Rhinolophus ferrumequinum: one gene and its partner. Each later gene encodes a partner of the first gene's protein in a complex. Links are inferred from orthologs where the notes say so. Each region holds a gene or a part of one and is shown on either strand. Other genes may lie near its edges.

Region 1 (7,782 bases):
TGGTGCCAAGATCAGGCACCTCGTCTCATTTATGTACCATATCTAGCTGAGTACCAGTCTTTTGTGTGGAACGGCCCTAGTGCTAAGTCCCCTCACGCCCTGACTAAACTCAGGATGAATTTACACCCAAGACAAAAGAGCACATACACTAGCATCAAGAGGAAGCAATGTGCTGTTAAGCCTACTTCTCTTCCTGATCCAACTACTTCTCCACAAACACAACAGAACGCGAACAACCTACACCCCTACAGGTAGGTACTCCTTGGTTACTGCCTACAAACAGTGAAAAGGGAGAGCCAGGAATTCTGGCTGGGGGCTGACACGTGCAGGGATGACACATGCAGGCCTCCTCCTTCCCTGACGGCAGGTTACCCAACAGACAAGCTGGGCACAAGGTTGGGGTACGAGCAGAGCAGGAACACCCCAAAAAGATGTTTATTGTGAGAAAAACCAGAACTTGGTTGAACTTGTTATACTAATTTTACAGTGTAGTGTTGAACAGTTCTTTGAGGGAGGGATCAAGTTTTCTTCAGGGCTTAGAGCCTCTGATTCCAACCCTGCCTGCCAGGGCAGACCACACTTCCTAGATGGACACACTCCACCCCAGCCTCCATTTACACGGAGGAGCAGAGACCCCCTGACACCACGGGAGCTGAAGGTGAGTGCCTTCTCCCAAAGCACCATGAAAACATCATACCCTGGCTGAGAAACAGGTTGTAAGATCAGGGCCTGTGGGCTCCATGTTGCCAAAAGTTGCAGAAATGCATTTTATTTGGTTTTCACAATATTTTAAAACTTGAAAATGGTCACATCAAAATCCATGTTTTGATTTTTTTTTTTCTTAACATCAGTACTGAATGCAAAGTGCTGTTTGGCAAACATTGCCTGAGCTGTGGACATGCTGTCAGGCCAACTGCTGAAGATGCCACCATTCCCTCTTGGACTCACACGGCCACCTTCACTCCTCTGTGAAACCTATCTGGCCCCTATAAGGTAAGTATTTGAGTTCGATACCCTTTAACACTTTGATCCCCATCAAAACGCAGAATTTGTAGCAAAAGATACACATAAACGCATTGACCGTCTTATTTGCAGGTCACTATGAATAAAGGTCCTGACAGCTGTTTTTCTGTGGGGAAATTCAGAGCTTGGGAGCTCAGATTCTGAGGAGGATGGATGCAGGTGGTTGCTAACCACTAGAGGTGGAAAGAAGACTGAGCCTGGGATTGGAAGCAGAATATAAATTCAGAATTTCGCAGCAGCGCGGTCCATCAGCAGTGTGTCGGACTCACTTGGCCTTCAGGACTCTGTCGCGCTCCTCTCTCTCCCAGCCTGGCTGCACTGAGTGATGGGTAGCCTTTTGCAGTTCTATATGCTGGGGCTAAAACAATTTCAATTGGCTAGGGCAACTGGCACAGGACACGCTGCCCAGGATATTAGGAAAAGCCAAATATGTTGGTCCACTTGGCTGAACTTAGAGAAGCATCTCCACATTGCCAGGCCATTGGGCACTTCAGGCCGTAGGTTCAGTCCACATTGTGCATTTCCCACCCAGGAAGAATAAATGAAGTCACACACTGGTGCTCCTTTTCCCAGAGGGGTGCGCCTGCCCACAGTGAAGCCCCTGAGCACCCCTGGCCATCCTCTCCTTCTCTATGGCTGCATTCTGCACTAAACTATAAAGCAGCTTCGGGGTTAACAGATTCATTCGTTTGCCTTCTTCTGCATTCAAAATAAAAAAGCCAAATGACATTTAAAAATTAGTTACCTAAGGTTTAACATCTTCAAAATGGTCAAGATGAGCTAAAATGTGTGACAATGAGGTGGGGAGAACCCTAAGTGCCCAGGAGTCCATAAAGGTCTTTCTAAACCAGAAATCAAAGTTTTGCTGTCTTTTTCTGGCCCTTCTGCTCATGTTTTCTGATTTCCAAGTGTGTTCTTTATTGCCCAAGTTGTAATATTTGTTGATTTCAATGTAGAGAGCTATAGATGATAGAGAGAAAACCTGTTGGATCACATTATTCAAAACTGTCTCCCAGGTTGCAGAAAAACAAAAGGTACCTCCTTGGGAATCCCCACCATAGGGACAGGTCACCAAGGCTTGGCACCTCGCCAAATTCCCAAAACCTCTGAGACAAATCAGAGAACACCTGCGCCTGACTCTTACCACCAGGAATCACACTAAACAATTGGGAATAAAGACGACTAGGTCCTTAAGGCCATCAAGAACATAAAGTCATTAAAAGAGGTACAAAGAAACTTACTCCCTAGATACTTTTACTTATGCATGATTTTTTCTTTCTTTTTATGATTTTCTTTTTTAATAATCATTTGAAACCTGCAGCTAAAAATTCTCTCCTATGGTACCCTTTTATTAGTGGGGCATCTCAAGTTCGACTTTTCTGTACTTTTTTTCTTACAGACATGAATACCCCCGATAGGGAAACATCTACCCTCTATTTTATCCAACAATTGGAGCAGAAAATACTTTGAGTATCTTCCAAATTATAACATATTCGGTCTCATTTTCAAAATGTGTCTTCAAAAGTGTTAATACCTACCACAACAGCTTTGGCCAAATGATTAATATGTTGGGACAGAAATTAGATTAACTGCCATGGGGTACCTAGGTAAATTTCTCTGCATTTCAGTTTATTTTTAGGAAAGTAGGAATATTACCTATCTTACAAGATTAGTTCTGAGAACAATGTGTTGCATAAGGTGCTGGAGTCCTTCCAAAAATATATACTGTGAATTTCCAAGAGACACGATCACTCTTAAGCAGGGGTTTATACATGCATGTGTGGCCAACTAATACAATTTTTAAGCTGGGGGAAAAAAAAACCCAAAAAGCATTAAATCCAAGCAGGTATACTACAGCAAAGTTAATTGATACCTCCAATTAAGATGCACTTAATTAGAGATAGAGCCTGGAATTGAGATCTTCTACTTATAGTCACTGTTCCACCTTGCCTGAAAACTTGTGTAGTTGTGTATCACATGCCTACAGAGACAGCAGAGTGTATCCCTGGGAAGTTTTCATTTTAGCATGTGATCATTACTACCATGAAGGTTTTATTTCTTGATTTTACTCCCCCCCCCCATATTTTGTCTGTCACCCTCACTGACCCAGATTCCCTACATTCAGATATGGGGGTGAGGGCTGAGGAGAGGGAGATTCAGAGAGGATCAAGCTTGGTAAGTACATGGCCCGGCAAGTTAAAGATGATTGCAACAACCCTCAGAAATCTGCAAAACTATGAGAGACCTCTTGGAACTAATTGTGAAGAATTGGGACCAAAGTTGCTTTGTTTTGCCGGGACCAATGCTAAGGGTCAATCAATTAACTTCACTGGATTGTTGGCTAGGAGGTGAGGGTGCAGAGGAGAGTATACATTCTATTTCTGTAGTTGAAAACAGAGGATAGTGAGCCTGGAGTGCCTACCCACATTGCATGCATGGTAAGTCCAACCGCTGCCCTCCCCCAGGACAGGAGAGCAAGGAACCAGGAGGGGCAGGATGGGGACTAGTTGGCACCCCTTGAGCTTCCTGCAGTATGCCTAGCAGCTACTTTCTTAGCCATCACTTAAGGCCCAATGTTAGGTAGTAAGTCACCACTCAACCCATTCTTCAGCGTCCTTCTCCAAATGCCTCTGGAAAGTTGCCCAGCGTGGCACCCCGAAGTAGGCTCAGGATCCATTCTCTGCAGCACCACAGTGCAATTCAGGGAGCACAACCACCTCAATAATTATTTCGTTATTGTCAAGCATCTACAACCTCTACTACCTTGCCCTACTTTTAAAAAAAAGTTCCTGTTCAGCATTTTCTCACATACAGGGGAGAGAGGGCAGAGTGCTTACCCCTCCCCAGTCACCAGGATTTTTAGTCCCGAGGAAACTAGTTGAGGGCTCTCCAAGCATTTAGGTTTTTAACGCCAAAACTTGCACACCTTCTACCTGAGGGGGCTGGGGGAGTGCTACGTGTCCCTGCACTGCAAACAGCCTGGGGTCAGCAGGCACGCAGAGGCATCCCTTCTCCCCGCCAGTGCGTTCTTCCCTGCAGACAGAAGTTTGAGGAAACGAATCCCTACACCCAGCCATCATTTCCACTCGCGTTTCCAATAGATCAAAAAAACGGAAAAGACCGGCAGGTTGGCAAACCCCAACGAGGAACCGCCCAGCAAGTCTGCATCTTTGGGATCTCTGCAGCCGAGGACCCCAAATCCAATCGATCGTGGGAAACCCCAGGGAAAGAAGGTTTCTTGCAGAGGGACAAGATTACTGAGTGCAGGCTGCAGGGAAGTACCGGGAGGGGGCCTTGTCGGGAGGACTTTCCAGCCACTCAGCGTTCATCAAAAAGTTCCCTGTGCATGACCCCAGTGGCTCATCGCTGGGAGTTTCTCTGATGAACCCTGCTTAGGGTTTAGATTGCTTTCCCTCCGCCGTAGAACGAGGCCAGTTCTCTTTTCTGGTCTGACTGGCTTGGAAATTCCCCGCGCCTGACCCCGCCCCGGAGAAATCCCCTGCCAGCGTTTATAGGGCGCCGCGGCGGCGCTGCCGAGCCCACAACAGTCCTAACCCGCCTGCGACACTGCGAAGAAGGGAGCGCGCAGCCCGCAGCCGAGCGCACCTGGGGAGCAGCGCCTGAGCAGTCACTGCGCCATGTTTCACCCCGCCGAGCACGCCCAGGACTGGGCCATGGAGGGCCCCCGGGACGCGCTCAAGAAGGAGCGGCTGCTGGACGACCGCCACGACAGCGGCCTGGACTCCATGAAGGACGAGGACTATGAGCAGATGGTGAAGGAGCTGCGGGAGATCCGCCTGGAGCCGCAGGAGGCGCCGCGCAGCGCGGAGCCCTGGAAGCAGCAGCTCACGGAGGACGGAGACTCGTAAGTGTCGCAGGCCTGGGTGACGGGGCCGGGTGGGGGCGCCGGGCCTGCAGCGCGAGCCTCGGGGCCCGCGCGATGCGGCGGTGGATCGGGGTTTATGCACCGACCCCGAGGCCGGGTAAAGCTGCATGAGGGCAGAGGATCAGGGTTCGTTCCCGGGGCCGCGGTTCCGCAGCTCGGCCTTGCAGCCGTTCACACTCCCCTGCCCGGTCCCGGTCCTCTCGGCCGGGGGCGGGGCGGCGGGGACGCGAAGTCCCCGCTTGCAGAAGGGGGGAGGGGGGAGTTTCTGCCCGACGGGCGGGCGCCGTGCCGCAGCGAGGGGAAGTACAGGGCGTTCCGGCCCGGCGGGAGGGCGGGGCGGTCTGGTCGGCGCCCGCCCGGGAGCGGGGGGGGGGGGGGGGGCCCGGAAAGTCCCTGGGCGCCTGCCAGGAACACTCAGCTCATAATAACCTCGCGGAAAACACCGCGGCCTCGGCCTTCAGAAACCCCGGCCTTGCGCAATCCCCCGCAGCCCGCGCCTCCCTGGGCCCCACGCATTGTACTCACCAGCCCTGGGGGTTTTTCCCTTCTTTTCCTCTCAGGTTCCTGCACTTAGCCATTATCCACGAGGAGAAGGCACTGACTCTGGAAGTGGTCCGCCAAGTGAAGGGAGACCTGGCCTTTCTTAACTTCCAGAACAACCTGCAGCAGGTGCGCCTCTTGCCCAGCCCCGGGCCTCTCTGACCCCGTGGTCTAGCACAGTTGCTCCCAATGCTTTATAAATTCATAGTCGTGGTCATTATCCGCTCTGACTTTTTACATCCGAATCAGCCAGCATTCTAGAAAGTAAAGAACATCCCATTAATTTGCTGTGGCCTTTATGAAGCCCACCTGGGGCCTTTGGTATTTGCTTTGTCCCTTGCACCTGTCTGGGAGCAGCAACCCCCCGCAAACTAGGGATCTAGGGGGGTTCAAGGGAACTCAGACTGTGGGTTTGGTCCGTGGCTTAATCCTCTTTCTGTTCCCTCTTCTGTTTGTAGACTCCACTCCACTTGGCTGTGATTACTAACCAGCCAGAAATTGCTGAGGCACTTCTGGAAGCTGGCTGTGATCCTGAGCTCCGAGACTTTCGAGGAAATACCCCCCTACACCTTGCCTGTGAGCAGGGCTGCCTGGCCAGTGTGGGAGTCCTGACTCAGAGCTGTGGGACCCAGCACCTCCACTCTATCCTGCAGGCCACCAACTACAATGGTACGTCTGCCTGCCCTGCCCATCAGAGGGCAGGTGACACGGGAAGGGAGAGGTGGGCCAACTTAGAGAGTCCAGGCAAGAGCTTAAACTATCAGCGTGTGATGGGTTGAGCAAACGTGTGTGTAAAAGGCCTATTTGATGCCTTTATAAAGTTCATTCAGATCTCAGATCCTGGGTTGTTCATATTCAGAAGAATTTGTCCCTTAAAAGAATAGGTGAAAGGTTTTGTTTCAGATGTGAGGATTGAAACAAGTGGTTATACTTTTTTCCTTTTGTTCTTCTAGGCCACACGTGTCTGCACTTAGCTTCTATCCATGGCTACCTGGGCATCGTGGAGCTTTTGGTGTCCTTGGGTGCTGATGTCAATGCTCAGGTGAGTGCCTCATGCCTCCAGGTGGAGGGCAGCACGCTCAGCGCCCTCCTCACAGACTTCACGTGCCCTCATTACAAGCCAAAATTCCAAATTCAGCCTAAAGCATCTCAAATTCCTTTCGGTTTCAGGAGCCGTGTAATGGCCGAACTGCCCTTCATCTCGCGGTGGACTTACAGAACCCCGACCTGGTGTCGCTCTTGTTGAAGTGTGGGGCTGATGTCAATAGAGTCACCTACCAGGGCTACTCCCCATATCAACTCACCTGGGGTCGCCCAAGCACCCGGATACAACAGCAGCTGGGCCAGCTGACCCTAGAAAACCTTCAGATGCTGCCAGAGAGTGAAGATGAAGAGAGTTACGACACCGAGTCAGAGTTCACAGAGGACGAGGTGAGTCTCAAGTTCATTCTACAAAAAGGAGTGAGATGGTCATTCTCCACCCTCCCAGGCCCCTAGAGCTACTCTTTACCCAAAGGTCTCAACATAATGAAGTTCTCAAACTTTAGTATATCCCAAGTGTGTGTCTTTTTGCCTTTTTTAAAGAAGAGCATTAAAGGAAAACTACCTCAGTCCATGAAGTTAATTTCTATTTGGGTTATAGAGAATGGAGTCCACAAATACTTGGGTTATTTCTAGTATTATGCCCTCACCATTATCCCAGCACCCCTAGCAAAAGTTTTGGAAGTTTAACATGCTTTTTTCCTCTTGTTTTTAGCTGCCATATGATGACTGTGTGTTTGGAGGCCAGCGCCTGAAATTATGAGCTTTGGAAAGTATCTGAAAGAACATGGACTTGTATATTTGTACAAAAAGAGAGTTTTATTTTTCTAAGAAAAAAAGAAAAGAAAAAAAAAATCAAAAGGGTGTACTTACAACCACACTGCCTGGCCTGAGACGTTTTACTGGGGTGGATCAGCCCTCTTTTTTGTGAACTTTGGAAGGGGGACAAGAAAGAGCATTGGAATTCAAAGAAAACCTCTTTGTAAACCTCACCATTGCGGGGTTTTTAGAGAAGGTGATCCAAAATTTGATGAAAGGACTACATTTTATTTATTGTGCTTTTTGATTGAACCACCATGGATTCAGTGGCTAAGCCCAGTTGTATCCTGTGACATGTAGCAATGAGGTATTGTTAAACCTTTCAGTGGTATGAGGTTAAAAGTCACTACCTGTCCAGGTTTGTGTTACCCTCCTGTAAATGGTGTACACAGTGTATTTTGTTGGTAATTATTTTGCTACTTTAAAGATGTATATTTATTAAACAGATTTTTACAAACAGAATTATCCTGATC
Region 2 (8,086 bases), on another chromosome or scaffold:
AGGTATATATGCTTCTGCAGATTTATCTGCTCAACTCTAAAAATACTATACTGAGTTCAGTACTTATGAGAGGTACAAGTGTGCAAAGAGAGTTAATTCCCAGAAAGCAGGGTAAACTGCTTCAATGTGGTTTACTGGTTACCAAGAAAGCGTTTGTCAATGAACTCATATCATACATAAACGTAGATGTAGAAACAGAACATTTGAAAGTGTCCTCCAGCACTAAAATTCTATCCTTCCTTCTTCTTCTCCTTCTCTTCTTACAGCATATAGCAATCATGCCACCTTTTATGAGTCATATAAACAGAAAACCAATCAAGCAAACAAGGCAACTTTCCTTCTAAGTAAGGTAAATTCATAAGAAATTTTGCTTAGCCATTGATTCTTATGTATCCATTCCTGCTAATGTGATTCATGTTCAATTTGTAGACTAGAAGAGCATAATTTGAATAGTTACTCTATTGGTTAAACAGCTCTGCATTTCCAGACACACTTTCTACTGCAGTCATCTCTATGTTCAGAACAGGACACCTACTAATAAGTTCTGAAGAAGAAAAAGATCATATTTTGACTATCAAAAATCCATATGGAAACTCAGATATCATTTTTTAAAATGTATTGTTTTAAAATGTCAACTATTGTTCTTTCTTCTCCTAAGTTCAAACTAATTGAAGGTTATGAAGTAACCACTTCCCCTCAGAAGCCAGAACTTTCACCTCTTGTGAACAGGGGAATACTGGGTAGAAAATGAGGCCCTGCTGATTGAATGAGAGTCCCAGATTCCTATAGCCTCCAATTCCTTATCTAGACCTTCTATCTACCACAATAAGCAGTACCTGAAAATCAGGTACTACTAAAACTTATTTCATCAATTATCTGGAAGTATGAAAGCAGTGGTAAAAACAACCTGCATATGTATTTGTTTCTCAAACTAGCTTCAAATTGTTTCAAGGAACATGACAAGAGAAATACGTCTCTGAGGAATACAATCACTAAATCTAAAATTCTGCCTATTTCTGACTAATTGAGCTTTTACCAACTGCAACTCAGTCATCACAGACAATTTTGTTTTAAGAGGTAGAAGAAGGAAGTGCAAAGATCAAAGCAGAGCTTAAGAAGGGGAACAACTATTTTTGTATGTATACTCCAGTATTTACTAACTGGGTTTGAAAAATAGAGGCATTTATTCAGCTGATGTGAATGCCAACTGCCGAACATAAGACAAAATTGAAATTACTAAACAAAAATAATAGACTTTCCAATTGCCCCCAACCCCAACTGGATTATAGTATTTCCCTTAAAAAGTCTTCTCAACAATTTAGAAGTGGTTTACTCTTCACAATAAGCAGTATTTCGGTGCCAGCATTAAATCTACACATAATGAGTCTTCCTTTGTGTTCACGTTTGTCCAGTAGGCTGTGGCCCAGGAAGACATTTTATCTAAACGAGCTCCAGGAGGCATTGAGGAGCTGCAGGTATATCAATATGGATAAACAATTTCAGGAGATTTCATGTTTACATTTACCATGTATGTTCTTCTCACTGTAGCAATTTAATTACGTGATCAATGTAAAAGGCTACAAGAAACAAGTCTTTTTATTTCCTGGCTTCCCAAGTTCATAAGCTCAAAAAAATACTTTGCTTTAAATCATTTCCAAAATTCTTTAGTGCATGAAATAGTAAAAGAATTCATTTCTAGAAAGCACAATATTAAAATCAGGAAAACAACATGATTCAGCCAAGGGCTTTATTTTAATCAAGATTCCTTTTTAAAGTTTTAACAAACGCTAATGCAATTCAAAGTGCTCAAGAATACTCAATTGAGGTATTGCTAGAAAAATAAGCACTGAACATCTTGATCTCAAACTTTAGGGTTTCCAAAGCTCATCAGTTTGTAGAACATTTGTATGCCAGGGCTGTTGAGTGTTTTAGTAATACTGTAGTCATTTTCTCAGATTATGGGCTTTATGACAAAATCTGTAAGTTAAATATAGTTATTTAATAAGCTGCAGTGCTGAAAAACCCTACTTAACAAATCCATGAAAATGTCTTAAATCTTGATAATCAGATACTGTGTCATTAAGTCCCATTTAAGTTTCAGAATAGGCCAATAAATCAGGGCAAACACCTCCATCAGTATTTATTTATTTTTAAAGACCATGAGAAAACTTGGATCTAGGCTAGGCTTTGTTTATAGCATTTTTTTGTTTTAGAGGTCATGCACAACACATGGTACCGTTTTCCAAGTGTTTCATAATCAGAGTGTCCAAAAAGTGATCTAAATAGGTAATTTCTTTTCTCTCTCAAATGCCAGGCCCTGGAGATCAGTCTCAGGCCCTCGTTTTTTTTTTGAAAACCAATGTCCAGATCCTATAGTAGGTGAATATATTATGTCCTGGTGCGTGTGTGTGTGTGTGAAGTGGGGGCTTCTTTTTTGAAGGAATAAGGCTGTCCTATTCAATTTGGGGGAGCTGGGGAGGGCTTCCCCAGCCGAGAGGACTGCCATGCACTTCTGCTTTCATTTCATGGAACGCCCTTAGGTGAAATCTGGTTCAGCACTGCACCAACCACCTTCCCCTCTTTCCTTCGCGCCCAAGCGCACCTCAACCTTAAAGCCACCCCGCAGCAGGGAGTGGGGGTGAGGATTAAAAAAAGTTTGCCAGAGTTCCCCTCTGGTTCCGTTCCCGCCTGGCGGAAGGACGGGAAGAGAAAGGGCAGCCCGGGCAGCCGTGGCCCTCGGGCCGACTGGCCCCCGCCAAGTCCGGATGTGCCTTTCCCCCCTCTCGCCAATCTCTTAACTCCTGTCAACCTCCTCCTAGGGTCCAGGGTAGCGGCTATCGCAGGAATGAGGAAGTCCTAGCAGGGCTGGAGGGGTGCGGGGCGGGTAGGTGGCGGGACTCGGGCCGCAAGTCCCCGGCGTGGCCCCCACTTGCCCGAGTTTGGCTTACCGTGGTGGCGGGTCCGCGCTCGGCCTCCCGGCGCCTGCGGGCTCCCCCTCCGGGGCGGCGCGGGCCTCGGGGCCGCGTTAGGAGGAGGCGGAGGCCGGCCGGGGCCAAAGCACGTCCGAGTGCGGGTCTGATCGGGTCCGGACGAGAGGGCGCGCGGTCTCGCCGGGCCGGGCCAGTCAGCGCCGCGCCATGTCGCAGCGCGGGCGGAGGGAAGCGCGGGGCGCGCGGTGGCCGGGCCGCGGCGGCGCCGCCTTCCCGGCCGCGGCGGCTCTGGCCTGGGCTGCGCGGGGTCTCGGAGAGGGGCCGGCGGCGGGGCGCAGGCCGAGGGCGGCGGCGTTGAGGAGAGGCCCGACGGACGGGCAGGGCAGGGGAAGCTGTCAGCGCGTCGCCGGGCCGCTCCGGTGGCGAAACCTCCTCTTCCTGCCCCGGCTCGCTGGTGCACTTCTCTGTCTCTCTGTCTTGCTCACTCTCTCACTTCCTGGCTGGAAATTCCCACTGACGTCGAGCGAGAAGACAGACAGACGGACACACGCGCGCACGCCGCGGGGGCGGGAGGTGGGGTCGCCACCGGGGGTGGGGGAAGCCCGCACTTCTGGGGCCGCTGTGCGCCCCCGGTTCGGCCCCGCAGCCCCGCTCGGCTCCCGCCCCTCGGGGCCGCTTCGGGGCGGAGAACGAGGCGCGCGGTCCGAGGCCCGGACGCCGGAGTCCCCTGCGGAGCTCCTGCTCCCGGGCCGGCGCTCCCGGAGCCCCGAGGGCTGGAGCGGCCAGGGACGCCCCCTGAAGCGCCACCGGGGCCCGATTGCCCCGGGAAGCAGGCGGCACGGAGGCGGTGGCGTAGGGCTGGCTGTTGGATTCGGGAGGTCCAGAGCCCCTAAGGACAGGCCCAAGCACCTGGAGAGGATGATGAGTCGGCGTGGAGCTAAGCATGCCTTGTATAAAAATAAATCTCATCTGTCTGTTCCCTTTAAATTGTCTCAGTTACACCCAAATCTTTTCACAAATTAAAGTGGAATTTCTATGATATAACCGACTTCTGTCCAGCGCAGTCTGAGCATCTGAGTTTCGGTAACTTGGTTGGGACTTATTCTGAACTCCCATCTACAGGGCATTATGATAATTACGGTGGATAGAATTATAGTGATGGTGGTAGCAGTGGTTTTGGTCCACAGCTCATAAAGAAATATTGATCCAACAGAAGGGAGTTTTTCTTTTTCTTTTTCTTTTTTTTCTGGAGAGACCGCTGCTGGAACGTCCAGCAGGCATCCCACCATTCACTAGATCTGAGCTTCTTTACTTTCCAGGCATTGCGCTAGACACGGGCTGGGGATACCCTGGGGTAGTTTAGCTCCCTCAATGAGAAACTTTGAGTGGATATTTTAGAGTTCATTATCTCACCACTGTGACAACTGCATATTTTAAAACATAGGTCATCAAGCCATCACCAGGCAGTGTTGCTATGACATTGGATTGCCCCTAGCAAGTTGGCCATGTTCCCTTTAGTCGTCCTCCTCGCCCTTGCCCCAACCTCCCCAAGGTTATAAGAATCTTCTTGGTGGAGTGTTTGGCGGAGAAGTAGAGATCCGTTTGATTGGGTCCGGGGTGAGTCTCTGCAATGACCTTGGGGACCAACCAACAATCTACGTTCAAGGGATTTCGTTTAACTCCCACAGGCTGTTTGAACAGCTGTAATTCAGGCGATTTATGAAGACTGAAGACTGTTTTACAAACACTGCGTTATTACGTATGGGACATTATTAGAAATTGCGCCAATACTGTATTTTAGATTAATATATCCTTTGTATATATTTTTTGGTCACTGACATGAGCATAAATAGTGCAAACTCCCATGAAACAACCAAGTATTAGAGGAGTGGTGGTGTTTTTTTCTTGTTTGTGGAGCAGGTGTGAACAGCCACACTCTTCATTCCAGGCATGGGGTTGAGGCGTTGAGGGGGTAGTGAATAGCCTGTTGCCGAAAGAATGGACAGACAGGGTTGGATTGTTGGAAGAATAGAGCCAGCGTGACATATTGGGAACAAGTAAAAGGTGTTAATTAGTGAAAAACATTAAATTAAATTTCAAACTCAAAATTATCCAATAGAGTGGACTTAAAATTGAGGGCTGGGTGTTAGGCAGGAGTATGTAGTTTCCTAGAGGTACCTTAACAAGTTACCACAAACTGGGTGGCTTACGACAATGGAAATTGATTCTCTCACAGTTCTAGAGGCCAGAAATCGGAAATCAGGGTGTCAGCAGACCCATGCTCCCTCTGAAGGCTCCAAGAAAGAATCGTTTCTTGACTCTTCCTAGCTTCTGGTAGCTCCCGGCTATCTTTGGTATTCCTTGGCTTTTAGCTGCGTAACTCCAATTTCTGCCTCTGTCCTCACATGGCCTTCTTGCCTGTGTCTCTGTATCCAAATCACCTTCTTCTCTCTCGTATTAAGACACCAGTTATTGGACCTAGAGCCCACCTCAATCCGGTATAGCCTCATTTTACCTTCATTAATCTGCAAAGACCCTATTTCCAAATAAGGTCATGCTCATATGTACCTAGGATAAGGCCTTGGACATATTTTTGAGGGGGACACAATCAAATACACTAAGCAGACAAAAGTATAAAAGCCCCCAGTCTACTCTTTTTGGCTTATCAGTTAACCTTTCTGCATTGCTGCTTTGTTTCCCAATACTTACTCTACACCTGCTTCCAGGAGTGTTTCTTACAAATTAGGTGTCAGAGGGCATTTGCCATTATCAGAGTATAATGAAAAAAAAAGCCTAAATGTGGAATTTTAGGCATCAAGTTTATAAAAGTTGTACTGTGTTTATCACTAAATCTTTGAAATCACATGAATTTCCTTTTTCAAACTGAGTATTATAAATGTCAGTGTCCAGAAGTTTGTTAGGTTGAGATCTATATAGTGTGTCCATTGACAATGAGAGATTATATAGTGTGTGAAGGGGATTCACAAATACAAAATTATACATCTGAGCCCTGCAAACTCAGACCCATCTTGTGGACAGGAGTGAACTATATTTCTGTAAAGGGTAGAACTTGCTTCAGGTCACGAAGGCACCTCAACATGCTTAGAAACACTCAGACCACAGCTGTTAGGTAAGATAAAATGGAAAGACTTGAGTAGACTTGAAATCAGACTTGAGTTGGAATCCTAGGTTTGCCTTGAATTATCTGTGTAATTTTTGCCAAGTACTGCTTTGTATGAGTTTCAGTTTCTTTGCCTGTACAATAATCATAACATTATAGTTCATATGATGAGCTCTAGAATAGCTTTACATAACATTTTATGTATGTTGTATTGCTATGATCTGAATATTTGCATTCCCCCAAAATTCATATGTTGAATTCCTAACCCCTAAGGTGATGGTATTAGGAGGCAGGGCACTTGGGAGGTGATTAGGTCATGAGGGCAGAACCCTCAGGATTTGGATAAGTGCCCTTATGAAAAAGACCCAAGAGAGCCAGCTGCTCCCTACCATCGTATGACGATATAATTAAAAGTCTGTGACTTGGAAGAGAGCCCTTACCCAACGATGATGGCACCCTGATCTTGAACTATGAGAAGTAAATTTCTATTTATAAACCACAGGGTCTGGTATTTCGTTATAGCAACACAAGTTAGTAGATTAACACATGTATGTATACATACATAAGTAACAACTTATATGTTGCATTATGCATATATGTTACATTATTACAATCCTGCCTCACAGAGGTCTAGAAACAAATAGGAGATAAAGAATGTAAAAGGTTTTACAAACATAAAGTTAGTCTAAGAAAAAAGACTTGAAATTAATTTCCTTGTGGGCTTAAGGGACTTCTATGCTTGCACTGTTGACTACTGGGGCACACAATAGTGGCATCTCTCCTTGTTGATAGTGGAGTATTTCATTACACCTCCATTTAAAAGGCTTGCCATATTCTGTCTTGTGCTTGCAGTTACAGGTCTTATTGACGGAGCACTCAATTAGCCTGTATAAGTGGTTACAAAAGAAAAAGAAGATGTAATCTCTGCTCGCAATATAAAGCCAGGAAGAATGACCTCATATAATAGCCAGGACAAAAGTGATTTGTGTAATGGGTCATATCACCAAGAGTAAAATCAACAGAAGAGGGCGTAGAGATCATCTTCCTCTCGAGATTATATGCAGAATCCAGAGTTTTATTCCGTTGGCAATGCAGACACACTGAAATGAGACAATAAATTTACAAGAAGAATGTCACTGGTCTTAAGGATACTAGCATCTTTTCTATCAATTCAAATGAATATTTACGCACTATCATCACTGCCTTCAAAGAGTTCACAAAACACAAAAGAGTGCGTGTAATTATAGTATGAGGCAGAGTACAGTAAATGCCTTCATGGAGGTTTAAGCAAATGCTTAGGCATAGGTAGGGAGAGAGACCACAGTGCTTGCATTGTGCCTGGTGGTTAAGCTCTCGGACTGAGGAAAACAGGTGCTACCTTCAGATTGGAAGCCAGTGCCTGACTGTGCCCTTCACAGAAAATAATTCACTCCTGTTCTGCCCTGAGTAGTTATGTGACCCTGGACAAGGTGCATAACTGTTCCGGCCTTCTTTTTCTCATCTGTAAGATAGGATGATAGTTATGCCCGCCTTGTAGTGCTATTGTAAGGGTCTAAAGAGATCATGCACATGAAGTGCAGACCAAAGTGCCACATGCTCAGGAAACTCGCATTTATATTGGTTATTATTATGAATACTGTTGTTTCTTTCAGGAAAACTTGATGAAGAAGATAGCATGTAGTGGATGTTGGAATGGTAGGTATGATACAATAGCAAAATGATCAGAAGAAAGAAGACAGACAGATGAGGGGGAGTGAGACTTACAAGGTCTGAGTTTATAACATTGTAACAAAAAGACTTAAGTGGAATTGTACCTTGAAATAATTAATGTAAAAAGAAATCTAGATTTTTTTTTCCCCAGGCACCCACCAGTCAAAAATTGTTTTGTCTAATAGCACATCTCTAAAGTATATTCATAACACTTAAAATTTGTTCCATAAATAATAAAGAAATGTTCAAAAAGACTAATTGATTTTTTAAAAAATGTAAACCACATACCTAATGGAAAGAGGGGAAATACATATTGTTTCACCAA

The links.
Region 2: the proteins of NFKBIA (region 1) and NFKB1 are in contact, whole or in part, in a crystal structure (PDB 1NFI), measured with the Homo sapiens proteins. The link is inferred for Rhinolophus ferrumequinum from reciprocal best matches to the Homo sapiens genes NFKBIA and NFKB1. Residues at the interface, in NP_065390.1 of Homo sapiens: Asn108, Asn109, Leu110, Gln111, Arg140, Tyr181, Pro214, Cys215, Asn216, Arg218, Tyr248, Gln249; in NP_001158884.1 of Homo sapiens: Lys251, Ile252, Val253, Arg254, Met255, Asp256, Arg257, Thr258, Ala259, Pro326, Lys345, Leu348, Tyr350, Ile353.

Annotation. Positions count from the first base shown.
Region 1 is NC_046289.1:83,503,181-83,510,962, reverse strand, and holds NFKBIA (NF-kappa-B inhibitor alpha), read left to right. Parts: upstream 1-4,537; 5' UTR 4,538-4,661; coding exon 4,662-4,888; intron 4,889-5,469; coding exon 5,470-5,578; intron 5,579-5,907; coding exon 5,908-6,118; intron 6,119-6,402; coding exon 6,403-6,491; intron 6,492-6,619; coding exon 6,620-6,880; intron 6,881-7,205; coding exon 7,206-7,253; 3' UTR 7,254-7,345; downstream 7,346-7,782. UniProt on the Homo sapiens protein: Inhibits the activity of dimeric NF-kappa-B/REL complexes by trapping REL (RELA/p65 and NFKB1/p50) dimers in the cytoplasm by masking their nuclear localization signals.
Region 2 is NC_046288.1:53,442,093-53,450,178, reverse strand, and holds the start of NFKB1 (nuclear factor NF-kappa-B p105 subunit), read right to left. Parts: upstream 3,089-8,086; 5' UTR 2,949-3,088; intron 1-2,948.